3 linked regions of the Cricetulus griseus genome follow. Each later gene encodes a partner of the first gene's protein in a complex. Links are inferred from orthologs where the notes say so. Each region holds a gene or a part of one and is shown in the gene's direction. Other genes may lie near its edges.

What was found.
Region 2: the proteins of Rab7a (region 1) and Rubcn are in contact, whole or in part, in a crystal structure (PDB 6WCW), measured with the Homo sapiens proteins. The link is inferred for Cricetulus griseus from reciprocal best matches to the Homo sapiens genes RAB7A and RUBCN. Residues at the interface, in NP_004628.4 of Homo sapiens: Ile41, Gly42, Ala43, Asp44, Trp62, Gln71, Ser72, Leu73, Gly74, Val75, Ala76, Phe77, Arg79, Ser101, Asp104, Glu105, Ile108, Gln109, Ser111; in NP_055502.1 of Homo sapiens: His818, Asn821, Met822, Lys824, Thr825, Arg827, Leu883, Gln885, Ala886, Lys887, Gly888, Phe889, Ile890, Glu892, Gln895, Glu897, Ile900, Pro903, Cys915, Lys916, Arg931, Arg934, Arg938.
Region 3: the proteins of Rab7a (region 1) and Pdzd8 are in contact, whole or in part, in a crystal structure (PDB 7F6J), measured with the Homo sapiens proteins. The link is inferred for Cricetulus griseus from reciprocal best matches to the Homo sapiens genes RAB7A and PDZD8. Residues at the interface, in NP_004628.4 of Homo sapiens: Lys10, Leu14, Asp16, Ser17, Lys38, Ile41, Gly42, Ala43, Asp44, Phe45, Gln60, Trp62, Gly66, Glu68, Arg69, Phe70, Gln71, Ser72, Leu73, Gly74, Val75, Ala76, Phe77, Tyr78, Arg79, Thr98, Ser101, Trp102, Glu105, Phe106; in NP_776152.1 of Homo sapiens: Ile999, Lys1000, Leu1001, Val1002, Arg1003, Lys1004, Glu1005, Gly1007, Leu1008, Asp1009, Asp1010, Phe1013, Ile1014, Lys1017, Gln1044, Leu1051, Asn1054, Asn1055, Val1058, Leu1077, Leu1084, Gln1085, Thr1088, Ile1092.

What each region holds. Positions count from the first base shown.
Region 1 is NC_048601.1:55,308,356-55,311,998, forward strand, and holds part of Rab7a (ras-related protein Rab-7a), read left to right. Parts: intron 1-648; coding exon 649-775; intron 776-3,643.
Region 2 is NC_048597.1:56,716,207-56,719,789, forward strand, and holds the end of Rubcn (run domain Beclin-1-interacting and cysteine-rich domain-containing protein), read left to right. Parts: intron 1-157; coding exon 158-251; intron 252-463; coding exon 464-642; 3' UTR 643-3,037; downstream 3,038-3,583.
Region 3 is NC_048596.1:1,975,350-1,979,781, forward strand, and holds the start of Pdzd8 (PDZ domain-containing protein 8), read left to right. Parts: upstream 1-1,499; 5' UTR 1,500-1,690; coding exon 1,691-2,598; intron 2,599-4,432. UniProt on the Homo sapiens protein: Molecular tethering protein that connects endoplasmic reticulum and mitochondria membranes. PDZD8-dependent endoplasmic reticulum-mitochondria membrane tethering is essential for endoplasmic reticulum-mitochondria Ca(2+) transfer.

The sequences.
Region 1 (3,643 bases):
CTTGGCAGTGCCTTTACCTGATGTTTTAGTTACTTTTCTATTGTTGTGATGAGACACAATGACAAAGGCAACTTACAGAAGAAAGAGTTTTATTTTGGGGGCTTACAGTTCAGAGGGTGAGTCCATGACCATCATGGTGGCGAGCATTGGCAGCAGGCTGGCCTGGACTGGAGCAGTAGCTAGGAACTTAGTCTTGAATTCTTTAGTCTTAAATTCACGGCTGCTAGGCAGATTATAGAGGTATCTTGAATCCTTAAAGCCCATCCACAGTGACACATCCTCCAACAAGAGACCAAGTATTCAAATATATGAGCCTTTGGGGGCCTTTCTCATTCAAACCCCCACACCTACTGAGCCATCCTGCCAGCCTCTCCCCCTGCACTATCCTAGGAAAACACAAACCTTCTAGTATATGATGGTAGGGTGATTGTTGGTGCTCCCCTTGGCTGAGAGAAAGGCATCTGTTTGCAGTTGTGACAGGTAGGTTGCTTTGATAAAATGTTTTGTTTTGCAGGGCCTTGTGTGTGTCAGGTACACACTTTACCAACTCAGGTATCTCTAGCCCAGAGAGGTGGCTTTTTAAATTGAAAGCACAAGTTAGTTTTAGTCCCTAATTTGACTTAGACTTGTGGTTTTCTCCAATTTCAGTGTTGGAAAGACATCCCTCATGAACCAGTATGTGAATAAGAAGTTTAGTAACCAATACAAAGCCACAATAGGAGCAGACTTTCTGACCAAGGAGGTGATGGTTGACGACAGACTTGTCACCATGCAGGTAAGCCACTGCAGAGCTGCTAGCCTGACTAGTTAGCTTACTGAATCTTTTTAAAAATGTATTACTTATGTGTGTGTGTGTGTCAGAGGACAACTTTGTGGAGCTGGTTCTTTCTATCTTTATGTGTGTTCTGGAGACTGCCCAAAAACCCAAAAACACTACCTGCTGAGCCCTCTTGCAGGTCCAGCTTACTGAATCTAAATTATTTTAACATGTCCCTGTTGTAGGCAGACTTTTGTTTCCCACCCACCAGTTCCCAAATAACTGACATGGAGACTCAATATTAATTATAATTGCTTGGCCGATAGCTCAGGCTTATTACTAACTAGCTCTTACAACTTAAATTAACCCATTTATATTAACCTACATTTTTCCACGTGGTGTTACCTCTTTCATCTTGTACCTCCTGTTCTTCTTTGTGTCTCCATGGTGACTCCTCTGACTATGACCTCCTCCCCAGTGTCTTTAGTCTAGTTTTCCCACTTACTTTATCCTGTCCAGCTATTGCCCAGTCAGCTTCTTTTCTGAATAAAACCAACCAGCGTAGTTTACACAGTATACAGAATTATTATTCCCAGCAACGTGTTTAAACCCTGTTTCTCAAACCTACCATTGTATTCATAGAATTGTTAGATAAAATAAAAGGCAACCACTTTAAACTTGAGTGGGGCATGGTAGGAATAGAATCCAGGGCCTCATGCATGTTGAGTGCACATGTTCCTACCACTAAGCTAGACCCCAACCCTAACTTTGAATTTTATATTGCATGACAACTAGGAATTTTTATAAAGTTTATTTTAGTTAAGTTTATTTGTTGTTTGTTTTGCTTTCGTTTTTGTTTTTGAAGACAGGTTTCTCTGTGGCTTTGAAGGCTGTCCTGGAACTAGCTCTTGTAGACCAAGCTGGTCTCATACTCACAGAGATCACCTGGCTCTGCCTCCCAAGTACTGGGATTAAAGGCGTGTGCCACCGCTATTTGTTGTCTGGTTTTGCTGGCGTTTTGTTTTTGTTTTTCCTAAATTTAGCAACCTACGGATCCCTACTGTTTTCCAAAATGTTTTCATATTTCTTTCTTTTTTGAGATTGGTGGTTGTAGGGTCTGTCTATGTAGCCCTGACTTTCCTTGGACTCACACTGTACACTAGGCTGGCTGTGAACTCAGAAAGATGCACTTGACTCTGCTGGAATTAAAGTCTTGAGCCACCATGCCACTTATCTCTTATTAGTGTCTTTGTCTAGTGCTTTAGGTCAGAAATCTTTGTGTGTTTCCTAACTTCTTACACAGAAAATATTAAGGTGGCTTTCGTTTGTTTGTTTGTTTGTTGCCTCTTCTATTTATAGCCTTTGGGACTGGAGAGATGGCGCAGTGATGCAGAGGACCCAGTTCAGGGGCCAGCACCAGGGTTTATAACGGTAGTTCTAAGGGATCTGTTACCCTTTTCTGCTCCCCAGGCACCAGGCATGCAACCTGCTGCACCAGTGCAGGCAAACACATAAATAAATCCTTTAAAGTTTTATTTATTATGTGTACACTGTTCTGCCTGGATGTATGCCAGGCAGACGGCACCAGATCTCATAGATGGTTGTGAGCTACCATGTGGTTGCTGGAAATGGAACTCAGGACCTCTGGAAGAGCAGCTAGCATCTCTCCAGCTGCAATAAACCCTTTTTTATAAGATTGAGTTCTGTTAAGCCAGTCTAGTGTTTTCATGTGTCTGCTTAGCTTAATACCCCAAGTGTATTAGTGGTTCCAATGAAAAACACTTTTAAAAAATCTTCATGTGGGCTGTACTCTTTGTGTTGTTGAGGTGTTTTATGTAGTATGTACATGTTTTTGTGCATAAACATGTCTAGAAAAAGAATCCCAATATTTTTTTATTTTGTCTTCTGGTCCATAATGACCACTCAGGTAGTTGGTATAGCAGCATCAAACTAAAGAGACAAGAGAAGATTAATCTTTCACATTAGATCTTTGAGTTTTAAATTAAAGCCGAGGGCTGTCACCCCGTATTTTAACTTTTTGATGTGTGTGAATGCAGGTGCATGTGTACCAAGGCATGAGTGTGCAGCTTAGACAACAACTTCCGGTGTTGATCTTTGTCTTCTACCCCTCCCTCTTTATTTTATTTTTAGCAGGATCTCACTTGGTAGCTCTGGCTTTATATAACAGGCTGGCCTTGAACTCAGAAATAGTCACCTGTGTTTGCTTCCTAAGTGCAAGATTAAAGGTGTGCACTATGACATCCAGCTTCTACCTTGTTTTGAATCAGGGTCTTTGTTCTTATTTTCCCACTACATATGCCAGAGTAGCTTTCTCTGAGCTTATAGGAGTTCCTGCCTCTGTCTCTATCTTTTATCTCCCTGTAGTAGTGCTGGTATTATAATAGAAGTTCCCCATGTATGTCTGGCTTTTATGTGTGTGATAAGGATCAGAATTCAGGCTCTCATATTTATAACCCCATTTTCTTTAAAATTTTTATTATATATTTTCAATGTGCATTAATGTTTTGCCTGCATATATGTATGTTTGAGGGTGTTGGATCTTCTGGAATTGGAATTATAGACAGGTTGCCATGCAGGTGCTGGGAATTGAACCTGGGTCTTCTGGAAAAGCAGCCAGTGCTCTTAACTGCTGAACCATCTCTCCAGCCCCTCTTTCTTTTCTTTGGTAGATATAGTGTTTCATTTAGCCTTTTAAGAGCTTTGGGGAACAACAGGATCTTATATGAGTTCAGGCTGGCTTGAAACTGTAGCAGAAGATGATGGCTGGGACTGTCTGGTCTCCCTGCCTCTGCCTCCTTAGTGCTGGCACTGTGGGCTGCTGCTACCACAACTAGCACAAAGTCAGGAACTCTTTATTGGCTTACA
Region 2 (3,583 bases), on another chromosome or scaffold:
GCCTGGCTCTCATGCTCACAAGTCCAGCCCTAGGCTCTACACCATAGACAGTAGACCCCTTCACCCTGCTCAAAGTGATATTTATGGTTTGCTCCACCTTACCGAGTCCTCCCTTCTGGGCCAGTCTCTTAACTTTGCTACCTACTCTCCTCAATAGCTGTGCCAAGCCAAGGGCTTCATCTGTGAGTTCTGCCAGAATGAGGATGATGTCATCTTTCCTTTTGAGCTACATAAGTGCCGGACCTGTGAAGGTGAGGACAGATACTAGCTTTGAAACAAGCAACACTGGACCCCAAGTGAATGTATTACCTGAGAGTTCTCTATTAGCCAGAGTATGGTGTGAGTAACTCCACACTCCACCACCGCCACAACATGAGCTATGAGGAGGAGTGGCTGAGGTGATAACTTGCTTCTAGCCTGATAATACAAATCATTTTCTTCTCTCTCTTTTCAACCTGACTAGAGTGTAAAGCATGTTACCATAAAGTTTGCTTCAAGTCTGGAAGATGCCCCCGGTGTGAGCGGCTACAGGCCCGGCGGGAGTTGCTGGCCAAGCAGAGCCTGGAGTCCTACCTGTCTGACTACGAGGAGGAGCCCACGGAAGCCTTGGCTCTAGAGGCCACTGTCCTGGAGACCACCTGAGGAAAGGACCTAACCCTTTGTCTAAAGGGACTGGCTACGGTCAAACGATACAGAACTGAACCACACCTTCAAGGAAGGTGATGGGGCCTTTTTAAAAAGTATATTGTCATTTTTTTATGACTTGTCTGCTGTCCAGGTGTAGGCAACCTTTATTGGTTGATTGGTCCAGCCTGTTGTGACAGTATCTGTGTGCATTGGGTATTCCCATCAGAACTGCCACTTGGACTGGCTCTTGTCAGGGGAATGGACAGCGAGTGAGACCCAGTTCTTCTGACATGCCTGGCCTGTCCCTCGAGGACCAGATCTGATTGCAGCTGCAGCTCAAGGCTCATTCCCACTCTTGACTTAGTTCCCCAGCTTCTGAGCCAGGCCTTCCTCAGCCAGTGGTCTTCCTTCAGCTTGGCTGCTAAGATGGGAATGGGATTTTCCTGTCACAGTCCCGAAAGAGAACAAGACTGTGCCCTGAGGCTGGGAAGAGAATGGGGCTACCCGGTGGGCATTCTGTACAACTTATGTAGGCACTGAGGGATGGGTAAGAACACAATCCTTAATCCTAGAATCCTTAGAGACCTCAAGGAGGCAAGCATGACTTCCCTGTTTCAAGTATACCAGGCATCGGTGGACACAAGCCAGCTTGTGTACTCTGATGGGCTTGAAGCAAAGAACAGAACTGAATCTTAGGCCAGGCCCATTTGTAGCCAGCACTGCACACATAAGTAAGGTGCAGCTGTTGCCTGAGGAACATTTATTCAGATAAAGGATAATGGCTGCCTCTTGGGTGTTCAGTCTCTAGTTAACTAGCTTGAGCACAGGTGCACTTCAAGCTCAGGCAAGTCCCTCATGCCAGCCTAAGGCGAGGATAGAAACCCCACCCACCATCTTAATAGTGGTCCCTTACTGCTCTGTATGACTGTGTGACCACTCTGGTTCTGCATAAAGGTGTGACCCAACTCCATTCTCCGTCCCTTCCCCCAGCAGAGCGGGGGCCTCCCATTGGCTGACCTCTTGCCTTAGGTTCTTTTGTCAGTCGGGAGAAGCCTGTCCACTTAGTAGCATTGGAGAACTTGACAGTTTGTGAATGTTTGTTTGCTCAGAGTAACAGGAGCCTTTATGCCGTTTATGCACTTAACTCTTCAGCCTCAGTAATGTATGTTAAATCATCTGTTCATAGTACTGATTTTAATAGACTCCTCCCCATCACTTAATGTGCATTTTATGGGGTTTGCTAGACTAAGCCAGACACTTGCTGCAGCGCCTAACCTCTGTAAGCACTGGTCAGGGCTGCATCTCAGATCCTGGCAGTTCTGGGAACTGATGTCCACAGTGCTTTTGTTCTAGAACTGACTTCTTCCGTGTACCTGTCTTCCTGTACTTGGTTGCTAGTGAAATAATTGGCCCGAGCACTGCCCCAAGAAGCCAAAGTTGCAAGTGGTTGGTGGAAGCGGGCAGGTTCTGAGCTGCAGGGAACAAGGGGTCTCCCCGAGAGACAGAAGGGACGCTGATGTAACAGCCACACTGAGCTCTGGCAGAGCAAGAAGAACATGTCAGAACTGGCCCATGGTGAGGTTCCTCTGCCTCACGTTTGGGAGCTGACAACAGCATTGGACCGGTTGACTAGGACTCTTCTCTCAGTTGTAGGTGAGACCCAAAGCTGAGGCCAAGGCCACTTTGAAGGGCTGGTTAGAAATCCCCCTTCCTTCAAGGAGATGTAGGAATGACCCCTTTAAACTCAAGTGTCACCAAGTCAGACCTCGGATACAGACTCTGACTGGACTTCCAGTTTGTGGCTGACTTCCAGCTCACTCTAAGTCACCACACTTGAGGAGATTGCCACCGCCCACACTCCCAGTCAACACAGGTTCAAGCTGGCCTCAGCCATGGCACTAAGTTTCAGTGTTCCCCACCTCCCAACCCGTCCCTTTAGATCACATGTCTTTTAGTGCCCCCTGATTCTGTGCTGTCATTATGTCCAAATACATGTGTTTATTTATTTGGGAGTGGGGAACAGAGGAGATGTCATGAAAGCACTTTGTCACTTGACAGTATCTGAGAATCCCTGCTGTGGAGAATTCTGAATGCACTGAAGAGAGCTTGCTGGAGGCGGCTGGAGTGAGGCATTTTCTCTGTACAAAGGGAAGCATTTGTTCCTGAGGTGGAGACTAGCTCCAAGGCACCGAGAGGCCTGGGAGCCCACAGCTCGGCACTTAGGAGGTTCCTATCAACTCCCTCTGCCAAGGGTTGAGAGCTTTGGCTGAACTAACAGAAAAGGAGCAAGAGTCTAAATAAAAAGATCTGTTTGTGTACAATTTGTGTCTTGAACTGGATTTTCACCTGCTGTAATTCATGTACATCCTAACAGTTCATGGTCATCTTTAATAAACTTAAGGACATGGAATCTTGCCTTTTGTTTACCTTCCTTGATGACTATGGGATGCTTTTGTGTATCTACTGAAAAGCAGCCATGTCTGAAAACTACCCATGTGATGTTGCATCTCCTCCACGTGACTATTTTTGTTAGTTGTTTCATTGTTGTTGTTATTGTTGGTTTTTAAAGACAGGGTCTCACTGCGTATCCCAGTCTGGCCTCAAACTTGGAATCCTCTTGTCTCTGCTCTCCTAATGCTGGGACGATAGGTACACACCACAAACACTATTCACGTGGCTCCTTAGATGTCTCATTATGGTCTCCACCACTATCTAAAACCAACATTTATCTCTACAAACCTAACCATTAGTGACTCACATTTGAAAGCTGGTTGTCTTTGACTTCCTCTGAATCAGGTCACGTGTCTGGCTAGTCAGGCATTATCTCCTCCCCACCTGTCATCAAGTGTGTTGATTGCCTTTTCCTTTTGTATCTCCTTCCATTTCTCCCACTCCCACACAAGGTAAGTTCTCTCAGTTGTCCGGGGTCCTGTCACTTTCTTGTGCATTCACTTTC
Region 3 (4,432 bases), on another chromosome or scaffold:
CAAACATCTGTCTTCCCATTCATTCAAAAGCCATTCTGGCCTCAGACCCGGCCATGAGTAAGAAAGAGGAGATCAAATTGATTCCAAACCTGGCCCAGCTGGGTCAGAACTCTGGTTTAATTCTAGAATCACTCTTGTCAAGACACTCCTTGGCCTGCATATGTTCAAGGGCTAGAAAGGATACCCGCACTGATGTCTCGTAGGCAGCCCGAGTCCTCCAGACTTTCAGCACTGGAGTATGTGACTTCCCTAGGACTAAAAGGTTGCGTCCGCGTGGAAGGACGTAAGCTATGATGAAACAACCGAGTAGTCAGAAAGTACCGGAGCAGACATTGTTGCCAGGGAACACAGCAGCTCTGGTGGTTGGGTCCTGGCCTACCCTGTGCAAAAACCTCCTGCTTTCCCGTCTCTGCATCTCCAAATTCTTTCTGGGACCTGATCAGCTCCTCCCCGGCCCAACAAACTCCAGCATTCCCCACGTTATTATATCGAGTAGAAGCCAAGGACCCCGACAGCTTCTTTTAGACTGTGCCAGTGTAGCCATCTGTGAAATGGGAGGGTGCTAAGAGCAGCCAACTGCCTCAGGGATGGACCCAGTGATAAGGCCGGGAGGAGGAGGAGGGGGGAGGCGGCGTGGACAACAATTAGAAGGGAGTCACTAAGGCATCTTCCAACCTGCTGGCAAATTCATTTCAGCCCACCTAACTCCTCCCAGACCTGGGCAACGGAGCGAACTTCTCGTTTACGTTCGAATGCTCCCCTGAGGTGGGAAAGTTTAGTTCCCTCCTCCTCCTCCTCCTCCTCCTCCTCCTCCTCCTTCTCCTCTCCCTTCTCCTCCTCTTCCTCGCCATTCTTCTCGGTCCCTTCTCAGGGCTCCCCCTTCTTCCCTCCCTCTGGGGACCCGAGCGGTCTCGGATGCACTCGCTCCTCTGGCCGGCCTGGGCAGTGCGTGTCCCAGCCGGGCGCCCGCGCTCCGGCTCTCTGCGGCGCTGCGCTGCCCTGCAGGGGGGAGGCGGCGACACACTGCGGGAAGCAGGACGGTCGCCGCAGAGGTGCCCACGGCCAGCGCGGGGGATGGGCGCGGGATAACGGAGGGCCGCGCCAGGCCCGGTCCGCCCGCACCGCTGCTCTGACTCCTCCTCCAGGTCACCCTCCCTCATCCCCCGCGCTGCGCTGCGCTGCGCTCCGGAGAGGACGGACGCGCGGGCTCTCCCTGTCTCCCTGTCTCCCTGTTTCTCTCTCTCTCTCTCTCTCTCTCCGGCTCTCCCCGGTGGCCGAGTGCGAGCGTGGGGGCGCGGCGCTGGACGCTCGCCCGGGGGCCGGGGAGGGGACCCGCGAGCACGCCGGCCCGTCCACCGGGAGCGCGCCCGCTCTGACGTCACGCGCCGCTCGCCCAATGAGCGGCGTCCCTGCGGGCAGGGGGGCGTTCCCTCCCTCGCCCGCCGCCGCCGCTCGCCGCCGCCGCTCGCCGCCGCCGCCGCCGCCGCCGCCGCCTCTCGTCCTCCCCGGGGGGAGCGAGCGTCTGAGGAGGCGCCGCACGGCAGCGCCTGGCTGCGGACGCTCCGGCCGGGCCCAGGGAGCCGCTCATCCCGACCGATGTCCTCAAGATGGAGGCGGCGGGGGCGACGGCGTGAGGAGGAGGGCGGCGCGGAGAGCGCGGGAGCAGGCCGGCGGGCGGCGGGGCGGCGGGATGGGGCTGCTGCTCCTGATCCTGGCGTCGGCCGTGCTGGGCTCGTTCCTCACGCTGCTCGCACAGTTCCTGCTGCTCTACCGCAGGCAGCCCGAGCCGCGGGCGGACGAGGCGGCCCGCGCGGGCGACGGCTTCCGCTACCTCAAGCCGGTGCCGGGCCTGGCCCTCAGGGAGTACCTCTATGGCGGCGGTAGCGGCGGCGAGGAGCCCGCGGCCGGGTCCTGCGAGGCCGGCGCCAGCCCGACCCCGACCCCGTCCGCCACCGCGACCGCGACCGCGACCCCGGACAGCCCGGCCCCGCCGACGCGGGAGACCTGCTACTTCCTCAACGCCACCATCCTGTTCCTGTTCCGGGAGCTGCGGGACACGGCGCTCGCCCGCCGCTGGGTCACCAAGAAGATCAAGGTGGAGTTCGAGGAGCTGCTGCAGACCAAGACGGCCGGCCGCCTGCTGGAGGGGCTGAGCCTGCGCGACGTGTTCCTGGGCGACGCGGTGCCCTTCATCAAGACCATCCGCCTGGTGCGGCCCGTGGTGGCCTCGGGCACGGGCGAGCCTCCCGACGGCGCCGACGCCGACGCGCTGCCCGCCACCTGCCCCGAGGAGCTGGCCTTCGAGGCGGAGGTGGAGTACAGCGGCGGCTTCCACCTGGCCATCGACGTGGACCTGGTGTTCGGCAAGTCCGCCTACCTGTTCGTCAAGCTGTCGCGCGTGGTGGGGAGGCTGCGCTTCGTCCTCACCCGAGTGCCCTTCACCCACTGGTTCTTCTCCTTCGTGGAGGACCCGCTGATCGACTTCGAGGTGCGCTCCCAGTTCGAGGGGCGGCCCATGCCCCAGCTCACCTCCATCATCGTCAACCAGCTCAAGAAGATCATCAAACGCAAGCACACCCTGCCCAGTTACAAGATCAGGTGAGGGCCCGCACGGTCGGGGGAGCCGCGGCTGCCGGGGTATGGGGCAGGGGCGGGCGGGGGGACGGTGGCCTTCCAGGGAAGGGCCGAGGCCCAGCACCCAGCACGGCCCTGGTCTGCAGTGAGCTTCCACCCTGGGTAAAGACGAGCGCGTGGCGGGCATTGCCCGTGCTGCCAAAGACAGCAGTGCGAGCTGCAAGCCCGACCCGGTGCCCCTGGTCCACTCGGAGCCTCCTGGGGCTGTTGAGATACTCTTGTATGTGGTTGCTGCACCCTGGGGGCAACAGCTGTGTCACCACTGCCTTTTGCAGCCTGTCCTGGACCACGTGGAGGAGGAGAAGTTGTTCTGGATGCCTTGCAGGCCTGAAGGGCGTGCTCACAGCCCAGGTCTGTTGTGAGTGGCACAGGCTTTAGTGCTTTAGCAGCTCTGGGGGTCGAGGCAGGGTTTGTTGCAGAAGGACGCGTCTTAAGAGTTGAGTCCTGTGCCTGGTGGTCCCTCTCTCTGAATTTGTAGCGACTGTCACTCTGCCCTTGGTTAGTAGATTCTGCATCTCAGACAGACCCAGACTCCACCTCTCACTCAGGTGGCTGTTCCCAGTGGCTGTTCCGCTCTGAAGTCAATTGAAGATATGTTAAAGACGGGGATTTTGAGTTTTTAAAAGTCTCCGCTGTTATCTGGTGGGCCTAGTTTTACGTGATACATTGTTGTGATTCATGTATTGAGTTTTCTTTTACTGGAAATGAAAATTTGGAGGGATAGACTTCATCTGTGGGTCTTGGGAGGCTTGTTTGAGTAGAAAGGCTCTTGTTTCTTTTAAAACAGCCACTTTTTAAAAAACTTCTCTTTCGGTCTTCTACTGATTCCATGTTCACTAAATTGAGCATTTTAGATTTTGTTCTTTGAAAGTATCCATCTAGTATGGTCTTACAACTGCCCTTTAGTGGAGATTGACTGTCCCTGGACATTAGCACAGTCTCAAGCAGATTTGGAATGAAGTTTTGATTTGTGAAGCTTGGAATTTTACTGGTTATGTTTTGTTAAACTAATAGAATAAACGGCAGTTTAAACTGTTGGGTGGCAAGAGAACTATTGTGTGAGGCACATATTCCTGTGGCTTTGCAGGGGATGGTGAACTGGTCATTCAGAGTGCAGGATTTCTAGTTCTGTGAAGTATGCATAGTTTATGAAACATACTTTTACATGATTACATTCTCAGTGCTTGGGATTCAATACTGATCAGAAATTAGTGAGGACTGCCACCACCTTCATAAAGTTTAATTGACTTATCCACTTACTAACATTTAACTAGGGTGGAGTTGATAGAGCATTGAAATCACTAGAAAGCTGCTTTTAGATTAGCAAAAGGAAAATAGAAGTGTGAGGATGAAAGTCTGCCTGAGGAAGTGCTAACATGTCTTGTGTAGCCGCTTCTCCAGAAGTGTGCTGCAATGGTGATGTTTCAGGACTGATTTCATGAGTTACAACACATCTAAAACGGTCCCCATTCCTACAAAGAGAACATAGCTAGCATTCATCCTGTTTTATTCTTGAAAGAATGAAGCACATAGTAGTTTAGTTCTTGCTTAAGTCACACAAGCTGTGTCAGGTGGTGAAACTCAGCTTGGATAAAGTGATGCTGTCCTTTTATTTCTTGTAATTTAAAGGAATCCAACATCATTTACCCATCATATTTCTTGGACTGGGAACTGTCCATCAATAAATGCTTATTGGTTTAATTTTTTGCTTCCTGCTTGCAAAAACTTAAAACCATTCCAATTAAATGAAGAAAAACAGTTTCTTTTTCTTTCCAGAATTAAAAATAACATTTTACAC